Linked DNA regions of Drosophila melanogaster. The protein of the gene in region 3 interacts with the protein of the main gene of each other region in a pairwise test. Each region holds a gene or a part of one and is shown on either strand. Other genes may lie near its edges.

Region 1 (3,523 bases), on a different chromosome or scaffold from region 3:
TGTCAAAACATTGGTCTGCCTATACTTAAAAAGTAACAACGCTTATTCGTTAAATAAGATACGTTCTTATAGCATATAGAAAAGTGGAAACTCACATCTTTTCTCATGGTGAGGACCACCACTACGTTGGTCTAAGCCATTTATAATATTAGAACATGTGAATTTCATTTTAGCTATATAAGCTTGAACAATGAAATAAAAATGCAGTTTGAAATATCAACTCAACGAATGCAGACATATGCTTAGTTTGCAGCCTCTTTAAAAGTATGCTTTTAAAAATAGTTTCTGAACCCAACGTAAAAATTTGGAAAAGAACTGAATATGGCTCTTAATTCCTAAATGCAAAAATAGTAATAATAATAAAGAAACTCATTTACAAACTTTTTATCAACTTTTGCATGTTTAAGTTTTGTCCTTAGGATTTTTAATATCCTTCTGAAAATATTTGTTATGCCCCAAATTCTCCCTTTATTTGAATTTTATTTTTGACGTAATTATATATTTTAATTGTAATTTTCTTTTTGACGTAATTATATACCTAAAAAACTTTTCAAGTAATCTTGTTTCCAGGCAAAAGATTGAGCTTATGATCAATCCGCTGTCGCCAGATCTTCAAGACTAACATTTATGGAGATAAGGAAATCCATTTGAATTGAGAAAAGAGAATTGCTAATAGCACTATGAGAATTAATTTAAAATTGGCAAATGGGGACTTAAGGAAGCAGATTTTTCTACTACTAACGAATTTGTTGGCATTCTATACTATTGCGAGGTCGCGTGGTTGATAAAAATATTATTTTTGTGTAAACATAATTTAGTAATAATTGTGTTTTTCTTGTTTATATCCCGTGAATAAAGCACTTTGAAGGCATCAATTAAGGAACGTGTTCAAGCTTTTGTAAGCTTGTTTATTCGTTGATTAGAACGCTACAATTTGAAGTGACTAGCTAGTAATGTGACATTAAATTTTTCGGATAACTTTAGTACAATCGCTTGTAGGTCAACAGTAAAACTAACTAAATACTAAACCTATTCCTTGGAGACGGGTTTGCAGGCTATCATGTACACTGGAAAGAGTCCCTTGGGAAAGTTTTGTTGCTTGACCTTGCGTACAATGCGAAATCCGGCTTCCTTTAGGAAGTGTTCATAGCTGTCCAGAGGCCTCGTTACCGACGAGTCGTTCCTATCTTCCACTGTCTTCTTCGAGCTGCTCACGTTCTCCTTCAGACACAAGAAGGCGCCGGGCGCCAGTCCCTGCTTTATGCGTCGAAAGAACGAGACCAGATCGCGGTCCGTGAGATGGCCCAGGACCCACTGGGTCCAAACGAGGTCGTACTGTTGCGTAGGCGTAAACTTCTGCAATCCCACGTTATAGATCTGTCCCACCTTTCCACGGCTTCCGTCTTCCGAAGTGCAGTACTCCCGTGCTTTATCGGCAAACGCGGGATCCTGCTCGACAAGATCCACGCAGCTGAAGCGGGGGATCAGGAGATTCCGAGTCACCCGACCAATGCCAGCTCCGCAGTCGAGGGCCAACCTGTTGCCCGGCACGCGGATCTCGCGCAGGAACACATTCGATCCCTGTATATCTATGGCACTAATGTAGCCCAGGCCGCCGAGCATCCCGTTAACAGTCGCCGGTACCTCAGACCAATATTTTTGTGCCTTATTGTAAAATTCGGACTCCGGTGCGGCGACTTTGGTCGAACTATCGCTCGAAGAAGGGGACGCTGTCTTGGCATCTGAACTTGCGGCTATACTGCTATCATCCTTCTGCTTCGACGACCCCTGGACCTTATCCGTGGTCTCGTCCATCATCTGCAACTTGTCTGAAAGCTGCTCTTCTAATGTAGTCGTCATTTTTGTCAGGATTTCGAAGGCCGCATGCTTTGTTTTGTTTTAGTGCGATAACCAGGGCTCCTAAACACAGTGAGCCATTTAGGTTTTACGAAAGAGTGGCAACCCTTCACCAATCAGCTGTTCAACAAGCAACAAAATTGTCCGTTTGTTTATGTTACTAGTTTTTTGTTTAATTTTTCTATTGTCCGGACAAAATGACTCTCGATTTGGATGCGCATAAGAAAGATGACAAGTTGCTGATCACAACCATACAGCAGGAGTATAAAATTCTGGCCGAATAGTGAGTTTTCAGAGTTCACTGATAACTACGTGGAGTAAAACTAAACTTATTTAATTTCTTATGTTTTAGCAAAATGATTGAGTCGGAGAAGTTGAGTGGGATATATGTGATACCCAGCTATGCTAACTCCTTGCGTTAGTCTACCCACCTGCCAACCTGTATGCAGTCTTTAGCTAATTTTATCTTTTGTTAATAGAGTGGTTTGGAGTCTTCTTTGGCCGACAGGGCTTGTATGCGGAAAGTGTTTTTCGATTCACAATTTTGCTCCCAGATCGTTTTCCCGACGACAAAAGTCTTCCGGTGAGTAGGATCGGCAATAGAGCAAACGTATTTAACTCTACAAGTCCCCTTTAGAGCATAATTTTCCAGCAGGATGTGATTCATCCCCATGTGTGCCCGTACACCCACAGTTTGGACGTGAGCCACGCCTTCCCGGAGTGGCGCTGTGGAGAGGATCACCTTTGGCAGCTTTTAAAGTACCTGCAAGTCATTTTCTCCGATCCCTTGGACAGTATTCGGGGCATTGAGGTAGATAAGCTCAAAAACAGCGAGGCTGCGGAGCTGCTGATGAATAACAAGGAGGAGTATGTTGCTCGCGTACAGGAAAATATCAAGGAGAGCAAGGAGCATATATTTGACACCCCACCCACCGAAGATCCGCACTACATAGTATTCGAGAAGTTCCAGCAGGACGTGCACGGGCCCGTTCTGGAGCGCATCAAGGCCGGAAGAAGCAAGCTGACGGAGCCTTCAGCGCAACAAGCAAATGGTGGACATGCAACTGGTCTGTCATGGGTTAAGGAGGGCGAGTTTAAGCCACTTAGCATTGAGTAAAACCAATATACATATATTCTGTAAGTTATATTCTATCGTTGTCTCAATTTTAAAACGATTAAAGTTATTCAATTATTTACAATCCTCGTTCATGGGAAATCGCTGAGTATTGTTAACCCACTCGTTCTGCAACTCTAAACGTTCTCCGTTCCATTGGAAATGTGTGGGGGAAGCCTCGCCAGCGAGAAACTCAAAGTGCTGGCTGAGCTCGATGGCCAGTTTGGAGCGGACTAGGCCTATTCCGCCCACCTGTGGCGCAGCTGGATGATAGACCCTTCCGTTTCGCGGATCCATGTACAGTTTGTGGGGTTCGTAAGGCAGGGTAAGGACCTGTCCCGCGTGTGCATAGCTGAGCACCTCCGTATCGTCCTTCCTCAGCTGTTCAGTAAACACAACAGGTGTGTCATCGCACCTAATAAAATTCCTTTCGCGGCCACAGAGGGAAATGTATGGAAATTCGCTTTCATATCTGCTCGTTTTGTTTAGCCGCAGTCGGTTGAAAAAGAACTTGAGGAAATCCTTCTCCTTAAAGCAGCTGGTGAAGTTTTT
Region 2 (4,896 bases), on a different chromosome or scaffold from region 3:
GGAGGAGCACTAACCAGATTTGATGCTATGATTCACTTGGTATTGATTCTCGTTCGACGCTAGTTCGAGTTATTTGTCTCTCCGATCGAGTATTGCGTTACCACATGCCAATCGCTGCGGTGCGAAGAGTCCACCTCGGGGTGGACCAAACCCCATTATGAGTGCAGACTCAACTTTTCAATTGACTGATCAAATTTACCTTGCAAACAATTGATATGATAGCGGAACGAGAGAGTTGCACACACTTGGTGGCACTTGGAAAAAGATGGTACTCGAAAGTGCAGATAATTGTCATACAACCATTATGAATAACCAATTATATCATTTTAGCAACAGAATCAACATAATTATTGCTTTGCCTAAGCAACTTTGCTGAACACGTGATGGTAAGGTAACATTATATGTTATTATTATTATTCGGTTATACATGAGCTGCCTGAAATTGAATAGTGAGCAACGCGTTAAGTTATCATGTAGCTGAAAACAAAATTTGTAAATATTATTTTGGGTGCCCTTCTGGCGCGATTCTTTTTGTTTACTATGGTAATTAATACCGCGATACCTAAGACACTCTGGGTATATGTTGCTCGAGATCACATCGTTTTCCTTAGCAAACTTTGCACTACCGTTTGCGTTGCTTCTCCTAGGCCAAAACCAGTTTGCGGCTTTCATTGACAACGCATTGTTGTCCGAGTGCACATACGCGTACAGGCAAGCTTCCCTAGCTTGAACTATCGAAAAATATGAAATACATTTTATTTGGTGGAATGATGAATGACAATGTTCTCTAGCTTTTGGAATTTCCTGATATCTTCCTGTAAAGCGATTCTGTGGACTCAAGATCTTCGACAAACCACTCAAGCTTCAGTTTGGTTCGAGTTATAAAAGCTAGACTGTATAGGTGATTGATGGCTGGGTGCATGGAGTTCCTGTGAGGTGTACCCCCGATGCCGCTTTCAGTTTGAGATGAGTGTTAACTGCAGGAACCCAAACCGGTTGTGAAACGAATCGAACCGAGTGGTTCGGCCCCAAAGCCAATTACGCCACCAAATGGATGAGTACAAAATATTTCTCGGTGCATTGTGCAGCACCATTTGATAACGAAAGCTGGATAGTGAAAACTGTCCCCAGCCCCCTGATTTTGGATCTTTGAATGTTACATAAATCCAAGCGAAGCTCGTAGCCTCCGCACGTACTCGTTAGATTAGCCGCCTTTGATAACGACAGATATGCCATCTCCAGCACGTGTACAGCTCTTTATCTGACAGACATAGAGTGTGTATTAGGTGTACTAGGTTAGTTCGAATGGTATCTCAACAACACAACTGTACATACGAATGATAAAATGAATGATTCGCAGAAAGAGCTCTTTTCACAAAAGCGGTCTGTACAGAATGCGTTAAATATATATGTATAACTTGTAATTACTAGGCCCAAAGATAAAACATTTTAATTCAAATGTCCTTTCTCGAAAGTTTAGTAACATGAACTTTGGAAAGTTGCCGTGCAATTCGACAGGTTTGAGCTTGCACGTCGTTTAAATCCATTAACTTCACAAATTCGTCAAAAAATGTATTTGGCTACTTTTGTGAAACATAGCACACACACTACCTATAACAAACAATTTTAAAGAAAATTGAAAATGGGAACACCTTTAGACTGAATCGCACCTTTGCTTATGAAAACATAAATACAAAGAGGAGTGTCATAATAATGTTATTTAAAAGGTTGTATAGAATCGGAACTAAACAGTAAGCAAAAGAATAACCACTTTTATAAAAACCAACATAAATTCTTTATTGTATGTTTCTGATGGTTCGTTTCCGGTCGATTCATAATTAGCAGTTAGCAAACAATTATAAGAAAAAAAAAAAGGGTGTTGATAGTGGACACCAACAAAATCAAGAATTCCCGAATTAAGAGTATCACTTTAGCAATACATTTAAAGCAAGTCTGCAGGAAGTTTATAGCTTACTGCAGGGTATGCAATGTCGGAACGTCCCCGTCCACTGTTTTGGATCGCAGCTGATACTGCGCGAGAAGGAGAGGGCGAATCGCGAAGAGGAAGAGTTGGCGAATCAAGTGGTCTTATCAGTTTTTAAGTTAAATTAGTTTCGTGACGAAGGTCGCTCTTCGCTATATTTACATATGTACGTATAAACTGCATTATTTTTAAGGAACTTGCCTGATTTCCTTGCTCTTTGCTGATTTGTTGGTTTTTTAATAGTGTTTTATTTTGAGTGACAATCTAGTGATGTTTTTTAAGCTGATAAGTCGATTTTTAGGGGTTTGTGTTTTTCATTAACATTTGCATGGCGACGCGACGCTTGCGCTCTGAATCCACACGAATAAATGTGTATATATGCGTATATATCAGTATATATACGTATGGCCTTGCTCGATTTCGATTTTTGGAGTTTGGAGCGATCTTTTCAATCACAAAGGAAATGCACTTCAAATTAGACTTATTCAGCGAGCGGTTTCTTTGTTGTTGTTGCTAACAAAACTGAAAATAATCAAGTTAAGTTATATGTATATTTTCAGGTACGCACGCACACACACAGAACGCGCTCTCTTTTGCTTGCGCAATACATAAAACACACACACTTACGCACCGCTTTGCACGTTTATTCTGCCTTTTATATTTATTTATTTCTATTAGCAACGCCAGCTTTTTGCACTTGAATATATATGTACGTATATGCATATATTTGTTTTTTTTTTGCCTCACAGCTGTTGGCTTTTCAAATGGCGCCTTTCAGGTGGCCGCTGATCCACAAAAATAAAAGACACGCGGAAAAGCGACGCGTGTCTCCGGCCAAACAACAATAACAACAACCCCTATTTCTTCGCGATTTTAATATGTGCGCAATTGTCCAAAAAACGGCGACGTCACTACCGCTCGCGAAAAGGAAAAGTCGCATGGAACGAATTAAGTTGGGCTAAAATCAAAATAAAACTATTCGCAGAACGGCGCGCAAAAAGAACACCGCTCGCGGGTGACTTGTTTTCAACTGAAAAAGCTGAAGCGATCGCCGGTACAAAAAGCTTAATCTCGTTGGCGCAAAGAGAGCGGGAAAGAGAGGAACTAAGTTAGTTCACCTAACCGCTCTCTTCAACTTCGTGCGTGCGTGTGTGTGTGTATGTTGCCGCGCACCATCAGCTGATACTCGTGCTGCAGGCAGAGTATCAAAAATAAGCTATTAACAGCTATTAAAGGGTATCAGTAGTGTGCTACCTTAATAATAATTAACAGATGTCTTTACGAACTTAGAAATAAATTAAGCAATCGTTTAAGACTCAAGACTAAATTAAGAGCCGGAAGAGAGTGACACATCAGAAACGAAGTTGGACTGAAATGGAAATTTAAATTTGCGCCGTTAGCTTGAAAGCAAGAAGTGTTGTTGTGGATTACAATCAATGCAATTGCATTGTAATCTTCCGAAATGCTTTAAAACCAAAGATTGAATGTCGTAAAATTTCTAGGCTAATAGTACTACCTTTAGCAAGTTCAAGGTTCTAAATGTTTATCTTCCGGCTCAAAGATAATTGAGGTCATCCCTCATAAATTCGCATACATATGTACATATGTATGTATATATGTATCTTCAGTTATGTGCAAAGTTCAAGGCTAAATAGGCAAGCGGAGGCCTTGTAACTAATTAACATTTATACCATAAATCAATCATTTCACCAAACAACAATTTCTTTATTAACCAGGGCATCGATCTCATCGATTGAGCTGATTAGCGCAGTTTGTTTGCATTTTAAATGTTAAATTAAGCACAAACACACACATGTATATCCCTAAAAAACTTTCCTGAATTTACTTTGCCCAGAACCCCAAAAAGATTTTTTCACTTTGCCATTTTGCGATTTATAATGAGTCACGCGACTCCAACCAACGAGTTTGTCTGAATTAATTACTGGACGGCACGTCGATTAGCTTCAAGCCAAAAAGCAGCCCTAATTGAGCCCGACCGCCTTAGAAGCTAAATTTAAATTAGACAAACATATCGCACAAACGTTTATGAGCACCGAACACATACATATGTACATATGAATGTACATACAGTGTACATATGTGTATTTGCAACATAATCAAGCTGAACAACATGGTTTTGGATAATTTATGAATGAACGAACGGATCAACGGGCGACGAGATCAGGGACAATCTTTCAAAGTTCGTATGCCGATTGGATGACATCATCTATGAGTTTTTAAATAAAGTTCAGCCCGAAAAACGATACGGCAATCTATTGCCTTGACCTACCTTATATTTTGAATTATTATATGATCTTATTTCAAAAGGGTTAGAAGGTTGAATCATAATTTTTAAATAGATTAATAGAAGTTATTGATGTTATAAGTTTCATAGCTTTGGATAAGTCCACGTTTGGCAAATACCAACAGTTATATAAAAGCTCCGAAAGTTGAATTTTTAATGAGAATTTATTATTTACCAATTTTTACTATGTGTTAACACTTTGTATCTTATAAATACAGTTTTTGTGCGGATTCGGATTGAAGTCTTATAAATTAGGCGGAGCAGCATAATTCGGTAATGGAAGTCTTAAAATATATTTCTTTACTGTTAAATTACACAAATCGAGCTTTTACCGAATCTTGCGAAATATATAGCTAACTTTTAGGCAAAAACCAAATAACGCTTGCTATCTTATCCACCGTCTTCTGTATCTGTTGTAAAGTCATTTTCAAAAGTCTTTAAACGTTTCTATTGATAAGATAATGAATTTCGACATGCGACTACGAGTAGAAGATAAAATCAAAGATCAGTTAGAGATCATCGCTGTATCAAAATGCGAGCATCCAGAGGAAATGGATTTTCATTTTACTTGATCTTTTCATTGCTGCTAATCTGCAAATTGGAAAGG
Region 3 (3,935 bases):
GATACCTACGTTCAAATACGTTTATAAATTGAAAACCGGCGAGCACTCATTTGCTATTATATTTATGAAACAAGTCTTGTATCAAAAGTCAATAAAAACTTGTATTTTAATCCCAAGATTCTTCTAGTTAAAAATAGAACATCAAGAACATTATTTTGTTATATGTATATGTTTTTGTTCTACAAGATTCCCAAAGCCCGATATTAATTCTCCATATCTCCTCCCCATTTTGTTCCCACAGTCCTTTCTCCAGATTTTTTTCGGGCGTGACTCTGAGGGGGAAACAAACAACAAATAAGAAACAGACGGGGAAAAGTGGCAAATTTTCGAACAAATTTAATTTCCGGCCTTGGGTCAGCTAGATTGGCAAACATCATTTATCATCTTGGGTCAATGGAGCAGGTACAGAAGGAACAGCCACAGACAGGGGAGAATATGGACTTGGCTCTTGTCCATGTTGATTAAACCATTAAACGAGCCACCAATGGCTAGCAACATTTGAATCTATTTGAAAAATTATATTAAAAAAAAAAAACATGCTCGGTGTTCTACGATCTTTATGTAAAATTTTCCCAGAATTCCACCAAAAGCCAAAAAAAGGATAGGGCTGTAAAAAAGGATTTTAGAGGACGCAAAAAAGAGTGAGAGTGCCCACCGCCGCGTGTGGGAAGCGTGTGTTGTCCGCCCAGGTAAATCGTCCTTGACTCCTGGTCATTGCATAAAATTTGCTAAGCAGTGGCCAGGTAGTGCTGGCTGCAGATGACTCAACTGAATGCAACCCGCAGAAACCTCAGATGGTTACTGGGAAAGGGAAACACGGCATAGAGCGTTTTGTCTTTAGCCTTTTGTATTTATTTTAGCGATCCCAGCTCGAGGGTTTTGGTTTCATTTACTGGCAATTTAGTTATTCGTCGGAATCGCTGGGCGTGTTGGTTTTGGTTGACGACTTGGGCTTGCGGCCCTTCCTTATCACCTTGGAGGTGGCCTGCGCCTGGGCCCGAGGCTCAGGGTGATAGGGAGCCACCTCTTGCTTGGAGTCCTCCTGGGGAATCTCTTCGCCATGGCCATCGATGAATCCCGAATGACCCGTCTTACGCTGTGGCGTTTGAGTGACAATCCGTTTGCCCTCGCCCGTCCAGTAAACTCCTTCGATTTCACCCTCGCGAACGTGTTCGATGGCATCGTGGGCATCTTGAGGCTCTCGCGGCTGCCCGGACTCCCGGGGATCCTTAGCATCCGCCGTCTCCTCGCTTTCCAATTCACTGGTTTCTGGCTGCTCGAAATTACCAGACTTGCCATCATCCTGGCTGGCACTCATCCGCAGCCCCCGCACGTCACTTAGCTCCTCGTCAGTGAGATCCTCCATGGAGATCTCCCGAGATCTGGGCACATACGGCTGATCCTCCTCCTCGTCCTGTTGCTCCAGCTCCTGAAAGTCCTGCTCTTGTCCCTCGCGAAGTTCCTGTTTTTCTTGCAGGGTCTCTCGCAACTCCTTCAGCTGCATGGCCAAACGCTTACGAAACTCTTCGTCCTCGTCCGCATTAAAGTACAGGCTTCGATCACCCGCCAATAGCGGTAAGAATCTGGGCGGGACAGGACGACCGCCCAAGAGACTCAATCGGCCATGGATCAAGCGACCCAACAGATCCAGGCAGCGGTTTTTGGGCGCTGGAGCTGCCTCCAACAGTTGCTCCACGTGCAGGCTCTTGTGGTGCATGGATTTCAGGGAGTTAAGCAGGATCAGTGTCCTGGAACAGCTACTCTTGAAAATGGAACGTTGCATTGTAACTCAGTGGGTCCGTACGCCGTTTAATCTGTATGGAATATATATTTTTGTTGAATTTGAAAAGTTGTACGTGTAGTATGTTATTTTTTACCTAATATATATTGTATATTTAAACAGAAAAGGAACGAAAAAAGAGCGGAACGAAAAGTTATTTTCAACGGTGAATTTTATATGAAAATTTTGTGAAGCCTTGACTTTGTTCGAAATTGTAAACTTTTGAGCTCGAATATATTTTGGGTCTTGTCGAGTCGGTGCTCGGAGAACGACTGGGGATCTGGGCGTAGCGTTGTAGGCCCCAAATGTTTGGGCAGCTGACTTTTGAGGCAGCACCTACTGGAATGCCCCGCCTGCTGCTTTTCCGTAATCCCATAAAACAATTGACTTTCTAACCGTTTTCGCAAATAATAATAAAAACGGCATAAAAAGGGAGGAAACCCGGGTATTTTCGGTGGAAAAAAAAACGGGCATTAAAGTGCAGGACGAAAAAGGATTTGCTGGGGTTAGAATTCGCGCGAAATTGCATCTTTTATGGCGCATGGCCAGCGCTAGGGTTACGTGCTATATAATAACCCTAGCCCTAAAACGACTACCTGCCACGCCCCCCGCCCATGGCTAATTATGTCATTTGGCGTAAGTCAAGGCTGCAAAGTCAATTGCGAAAAATGGGTAAAAATCTGACACAAACGAGCAGAAAATTCCATAAAAATGGTTATATAAAAAATCCATATATGGTTAGGGATTAAGGGGTTGGCGGTCTGCAACCGAAATTGTCGTCTGAAAATGATAGATTATATTGATAGAATCACTGAACATAAGCAGCAGATTCACAGCTGGACCAATCGTACCTAAATCATACACGTTAGAAGGTACGATACGAGAGGTGAAAACTTGTTAATAAAACAGGTTGTCGGAAAACTAGAGGTAATCTCCATTTTGATGTGCCTCCATCTCACATTCGGGGCTCATAAAAACACATAGAAAAATGTATTTCCAAGCCGACCTATAACCCCTGCTTGCCCATTTCCCCGCCAACATGTTGTCGTCATTGTCCAGGACAATTTGCCTGCAATATTGCGTTGACAGCCACGAGAAATAATAGCCGAACAATTTATACAATTTATGAGTTTGTGTGCCACATACACATCGGCGGCGGAGGGGTAAAGTAAAGGGGTGCTTTGGGCCTTGGTAAGGGTTACCAAAAAAATGTGTGTAGCATACTTAAGCGGGCGTCGGTGGGTGGTGCTGGATCGAATGGCAGATTGCCCAAAAAGAGAGCGAAATCACAGTCGAAAATCATAAATTCGGCATGTCTAATGACAATTTGCAGCTCCACATGCGGGGTAAAATAAAAGTTGAGAGACCGTTTTTATCGTTTTTGATTTTCTGATGCTGCGCCCTTTTATGTCAACGCATAAAAGTCGTTTGTTGTTTGGTCCAAGGTTTTTAGGGCTCGGGAAAATGGGTTTTCATAGCATGACGACGCCTTACACCGCCGACCAATTCGGAAGTAACGCATATAATATGTTGACCAACTAATAATTCTCTTTAATATAGAACCATCGAAACTTTTGCTTGAGATGCGAAAAGAATCACGAGGTTTTTAGCTGCGAATTAAATACTGTAAGGATACGTAGGCTTTTGAAAGGTGGAGACCATTTAAAATGAGCTTGTCGTAATACAATTATGGCTTAAAAATACCCTGAAATGGTTACTGGCAGCTGCCGGAGGTCCTTCTGGGACATTTATGAGGCCAACGGCTGGTCGATGCCAGACGCATCCGCAGTATAAATCAAACCCGTCCGAGGATCCCTCAAACATCCCATTGAGATCTTATTGTGGACTGGAACTGAGCTGAAACTGAACTGAAACTGCGACAGAAGCTGGTCTGGAGATGAGCCATCCATGTGGCCATAACTCATCCAGCGGAGTTGTTGGCCACCGAAAATGAAGCAATCAGGGCCGAGAAAATGGTAACAGCCCTGGGTAATTGTTGTTTGGCATTTGCTATTTGGCATTGGCCGATGATGTCACCGCACACGGAGAACGAGATGCCGGCATTGTCGTTTCCACTTCCTGGCCAGCCCATTGTCTCCTTCGAGATTTTACGATTGTTTACTGCTGCTTCTGTGCCCTGACTTTTGGCTTCCAT
Region 4 (4,467 bases), on a different chromosome or scaffold from region 3:
TGGTCAAGTGACTCTGAGCACTGATAAGGCGATTCAAATCAAAGGTAAGTACTCAGTTGTGATTGCGATACTTCATATAATTCTCGCAACATTTTACATATTAAGCAATTCGACTTAAGCTAAAAGGTTATGCAGAGACCCATTGGACCGAAAGCAAGACTGATTCGAATAACAAGTCCACTTCAGAGTCGTACAATGGATTTGAGAAATACCTTTCCAGTAAAGTTTATCTTTTGGGTTCCGAAATTAGCCCTGGTAAAATATTGAGTGATAATTTGTTATTGAAATTGGTCAAAATTTCATTTTATGTATTCGCAAAGAAATGGCTTTGGAGCCGGGAACTAGGTCCTACAATTTTGCTTGTCCAATTCCAATCAATTGTCCCTCATCGTTCGAGGGGACTCATGGTCGTATACGTTATATGGTGGATGTCAATATCATTCAGCCGTGGAAGTACGACAGCATTTTCTCAAGAGCTTTCACCGTTATTCAAGTGATGGACATAAACACCTATAACTCTGTTTCACAGGTAAATATAACATGAAACGAAATTTTGGAGGTCTGCTATAACAATGTAATCGCTTTTAAGGTTCCCGTGCAGGCCAAGACTGAGAAAACCTTTGGGGTCTGGCCCTTCCGATCGGATCCTCTAACGCTGGAGCTGAATTTGCCGCAGACTGGCTTTGTGCCTGGTCAGACGGTACCCGCAAATGTTCTGATTGGTAACGAAAGCAAAATTCGGGTGCACGAAGTGAAGGTTGGACTATCAATGATGATCACCTACTACAGTGATCTAAGTTCAGGTTCCAAGTGCGAGCGCAAGTCCGTGGCCAAGTTAAAGGCAGATGGAGTTTTGAGGAACTCCCGGAAAATGTACGACTTCCAACTGATGATACCCTCTACTCCGCCTTCATGTTTCCATCTGTGCCGCATTATCAAGATCGGATACCAGATCGAGGTTGTGGCCAAGGTGAAGGGCATGCATATCAATGGAACTCTGATAATGCCGGTGACTATTTGTGGTGTTCCGATATCGCCGTCAGCGGTGCAATATACGCCGCAGAGCTCTGGGCCAGAGGCTCCAGAACAAAGAGCTTTGACTTTGATTGAGGGAGAGGGAGCTTTTGCTCCAGCTGCTCCCCCATATCCCTGGTCAGAAGGATCCACACTATGTAAGCTGTCCTTGTTTTAATATGTCCATATCAATTATGTAACCATACGATTTTTATAGCGCCACCGAACTACGCCGAGGCCATGCATTCCCATAGTGACTCTGAGAAACAGTCAGAGTCGGGAAATGCGCAAGAGAAGTCTTACAAGCCGTTGTATCCTGTCTTCGATTTGTCTACTTCAACTGTAGAAAAGAGCAAGGAAGCGGCTTTGGATAAAGAGGAAAAGAAATGAAGGCGGGCGAAAAAACTATTCTACATTTGAGAACCATTGGACATCCCATCCCACGCCTGCTTGTCAAGAAGTCCTTGGGATTTTTCCGGAGATATGAGGGCTATTTGCTGCTCGACTGCATTTGGCAAAATGTATAATTCAAAATTGTGACAGCGATAAGATAAAGTTTTTCTGGCCATCGCTACCAATATAGAACAACCGCAATGTTTGTTTTATTCTCAGTTGATTTCTGGCAGCCAAGTGGGCATGTGGGTGCTATCGTCGCGAAAAGCGGTTCCTTCCACTCTGTCTGGAGTTCTCGGAATTTAGGGAGTAAATAACTGAACATTGGCATTAAAATCAAATCAGTCGTGTTTGCAGCGGCATCAGAGTAGGATCGGCCCATAAATACACGATTGCGGTTACAATTACAATTATGACTGTTACCTGTGAAATTGATTTCGATAACAATCCCCATGGCACCTACTTTGGGGGCGAGGTACTCACTGGCAGAGTTACGTTGAAGCTGGACAAGATGAAGTTGGTAAAAGGTGAGGGGCAGTTGATTTGAGATACCTTTGGAATTTGACAATATGCCATGAGTCATTCTTATCTTATCGTCCAACTTAAAAGTGCGGTTGAATGTTTTTAAACGAAGATTTAGTCCGGTGACTCATATATTTATAGTGAGTAGAGAACCACACGTGCGAAATCTAATGTCTACATGAAGGTGTTTGGCGAACATACACAAATGCATCAATGATAATATTTGCGTTCGATAAGATTAAATTATTTTTAAATAATCAATGGGTTTCGCATTAATTAATATTAAATAGGGGTGGATACATATTTGACTTTTTCATATATACAACGATTGCTTTTGTAAGTTTTTATGGATATTTCATGTGAATGCATAACAGTAATTCTGTATGATTAAAAGATTTTAATTTGTCAAAACCATAATCATCGTTTAGATGACTTAAAAAACAATTAAAGAATAAATTCAATTCGTTACAGTACATTGAGCTAAAATACCTTTCTAAGAAATACCTTATCAACTTCTTCTCCGCAGCCATCACCTTGAATATAACCGGATACGCAGAGACGCGTTGGATTGAAAGGGTGACCACAAACAGAAGGAGGAGACGTCGCACATTCTGCGGCCGCGAGGATTACATAGCGTCCAAAACATTTTTGGTGGGATCCAATCTGAGCAGTACGTAAAGCTCCATTTAGGCAAGAAAGTCCATCTAATTGCTAATCATATCTGCAGGCCAAGTATCCATTGAAGCGGGAATTCACACTTACAACTTCGTGTGCCTGATTCCCACCGAATGTCCTTCGTCCTTCGAGGGATCACACGGCAGGGTGCGGTACATGGCAACCGTAACCCTCGTCAGGCCCTGGAAATTCGATCAGAGCTATACCCGATGCTTTACGGTGCTAAAAGTGATGGACTTGAACTTCGATAGTCCACTGCTAAGGGTACGAATCAAAATCAAACACGAATACATATCTGTTAGAACCTAAGCTAATTGAATATGTTATGTAGGTACCCGCCCACAGTGAAACCTCGAAGACCTACTGCTGCTGGCCTTGCCGATCAGATCCGTTGGCCCTCCAACTGACCGTTCCACAGACAGGATTTGTACCTGGCCAGAATGTTCCCCTTAGCGTGCTGGTCACAAACGATAGCCACATTCCGGTGGAGCAGCTCCTCATTAGTTTTGTGATGCTGGTGACATACCACAGTAAGCCACCTTCGATGCCCAATACCACGTCCGAGAGGTTGGTGGTAAACACCTTCAAGGGGGACGCTGTGCAAAGGAACTGCAAGAAGCTATTTAGCTATGAGATCAGAGTCCCGGCCACTCCGCCCACCTGCTTCAACCTGTGCGGCATCATCCAGATCGCCTACCAAGTGGAGGTGGAGGCCAGGGTGAAGGGTTGCCACAACAACGAGGTTGTCACCATTCCGCTGACCATTGGCAGTGTCCCTCTTGCACAACACGTACCAATCCAGCCTCGGGGTTTCGTCCCCCAGCTGAATGTTAATGAGCTGGCTGTTGAAGAAGTAGCCACTGCTCCAAACTCTTCAAGTCCATGGTCTGTCGACGCATCCATTCGTGAGTTTACTAGAATCCATAAACTAATTACAGTATCAATTTATGTTTTTTGTTGGTGTTTTTAGCTCCGCCCAACTATCAGGAGGCTGTTCACATGCGCAGCACGGCTGCAACGAGGTCAGACGACTTAGACGACCCGGAACCAGTACCGCCCAATACTCTCAGTTTGGATGGCGGTGCTTATAAGCCACTCTATCCGGTCTTCGACATACCCAGTCCCTCAGCTCCGCCGCCGACGGATTATACGCAGAATTATATGGCAGAGAGGGCCTTTGTCAATCCGGCCATGGATGTGGACAAAGACAAGGGAACGTGGCTATGAGAACGAAAATAAATACTATACTAGAAATGTAAGGGCGATAAAGCATTTGCACACAAGGCAAAAGTTCCACCTAACACTTTATAATAAACATTTTATCACAATTCCAAGACTGGTACAGGGTGGAGCGATTTTTGAAATTATTCGAAATTATATATATATTACCATATGTAGTCTAAGATTTTCAAACACGACGCTTTTCTTTCCTCTTGAAAACCCCTCGATGAATGCTGGCAATAACTTCCCCAGTGCCAAGGTCTCGACAACCAACTCTGATAACAGACCGAAAACCCCAAGTGAACGTCCGAGTAGTTCGCAAGGGAACTTATTATCGACTCTTATACAGTTTGGACTACGATTCCGTATCGTTCCCGGTGAAATCCGAATCCGACATCGGGTCCAAGTTATGGTTCTTATCGCTTATCTAACGACGCGGTCGCACCGCAAGCAGTCCAGAAGTTTTGTACTTAAATTAGTCGCAGTGAGTTGCCCCATAACATCGGTTTTAGCTTTTTCGCGCTCGGACATTTAATCTTGGGAAAAATGGTTGTTACGTGTGAGATCAGCTTCGATAATAATAAACATGGTACTTTCTACGCCGGTCAGCTGGTAAAAGGATGCGCGACCCTTAAATGTGAC

What was found.
Region 1: the proteins of CG1324 (region 3) and Ntmt interact in a two-hybrid assay, tested with the Drosophila melanogaster proteins (one large-scale study listed by BioGRID).
Region 2: the proteins of CG1324 (region 3) and CG42674 interact in a two-hybrid assay, tested with the Drosophila melanogaster proteins (one large-scale study listed by BioGRID).
Region 4: the proteins of CG1324 (region 3) and CG18745 interact in a two-hybrid assay, tested with the Drosophila melanogaster proteins (one large-scale study listed by BioGRID).

Annotation. Positions count from the first base shown.
Region 1 is NT_033778.4:9,864,041-9,867,563, reverse strand, and holds Ntmt (N-terminal methyltransferase), read right to left. Parts: upstream 1,933-3,523; 5' UTR 1,861-1,932; coding exon 1,030-1,860; 3' UTR 513-1,029; downstream 1-512. Other genes in the region: peo (pendolino), read left to right, coding at 2,055-2,140, 2,210-2,274, 2,337-2,440, 2,495-2,974; CG30010 (uncharacterized protein), read right to left, coding at 3,047-3,523. UniProt on the Drosophila melanogaster protein: Alpha-N-methyltransferase that methylates the N-terminus of target proteins containing the N-terminal motif [Ala/Pro/Ser]-Pro-Lys when the initiator Met is cleaved.
Region 2 is NT_037436.4:20,195,297-20,200,192, forward strand, and holds the start of CG42674 (uncharacterized protein), read right to left. Parts: upstream 3,022-4,896; 5' UTR 2,186-3,021; intron 1-2,185. Other genes in the region: CG42833 (uncharacterized protein), read left to right, coding at 4,822-4,896.
Region 3 is NC_004354.4:20,733,917-20,737,851, forward strand, and holds CG1324 (uncharacterized protein), read right to left. Parts: upstream 2,045-3,935; 5' UTR 1,878-2,044; intron 1,815-1,877; 5' UTR 1,784-1,814; coding exon 905-1,783; 3' UTR 539-904; downstream 1-538.
Region 4 is NT_033777.3:7,783,306-7,787,772, reverse strand, and holds CG18745 (uncharacterized protein), read left to right. Parts: upstream 1-1,653; 5' UTR 1,654-1,819; coding exon 1,820-1,934; intron 1,935-2,455; coding exon 2,456-2,599; intron 2,600-2,656; coding exon 2,657-2,868; intron 2,869-2,935; coding exon 2,936-3,509; intron 3,510-3,574; coding exon 3,575-3,831; 3' UTR 3,832-3,930; downstream 3,931-4,467. Other genes in the region: CG18748 (uncharacterized protein), read left to right, coding at 1-44, 106-255, 321-529, 590-1,172, 1,232-1,404; CG18747 (uncharacterized protein), read left to right, coding at 4,372-4,467.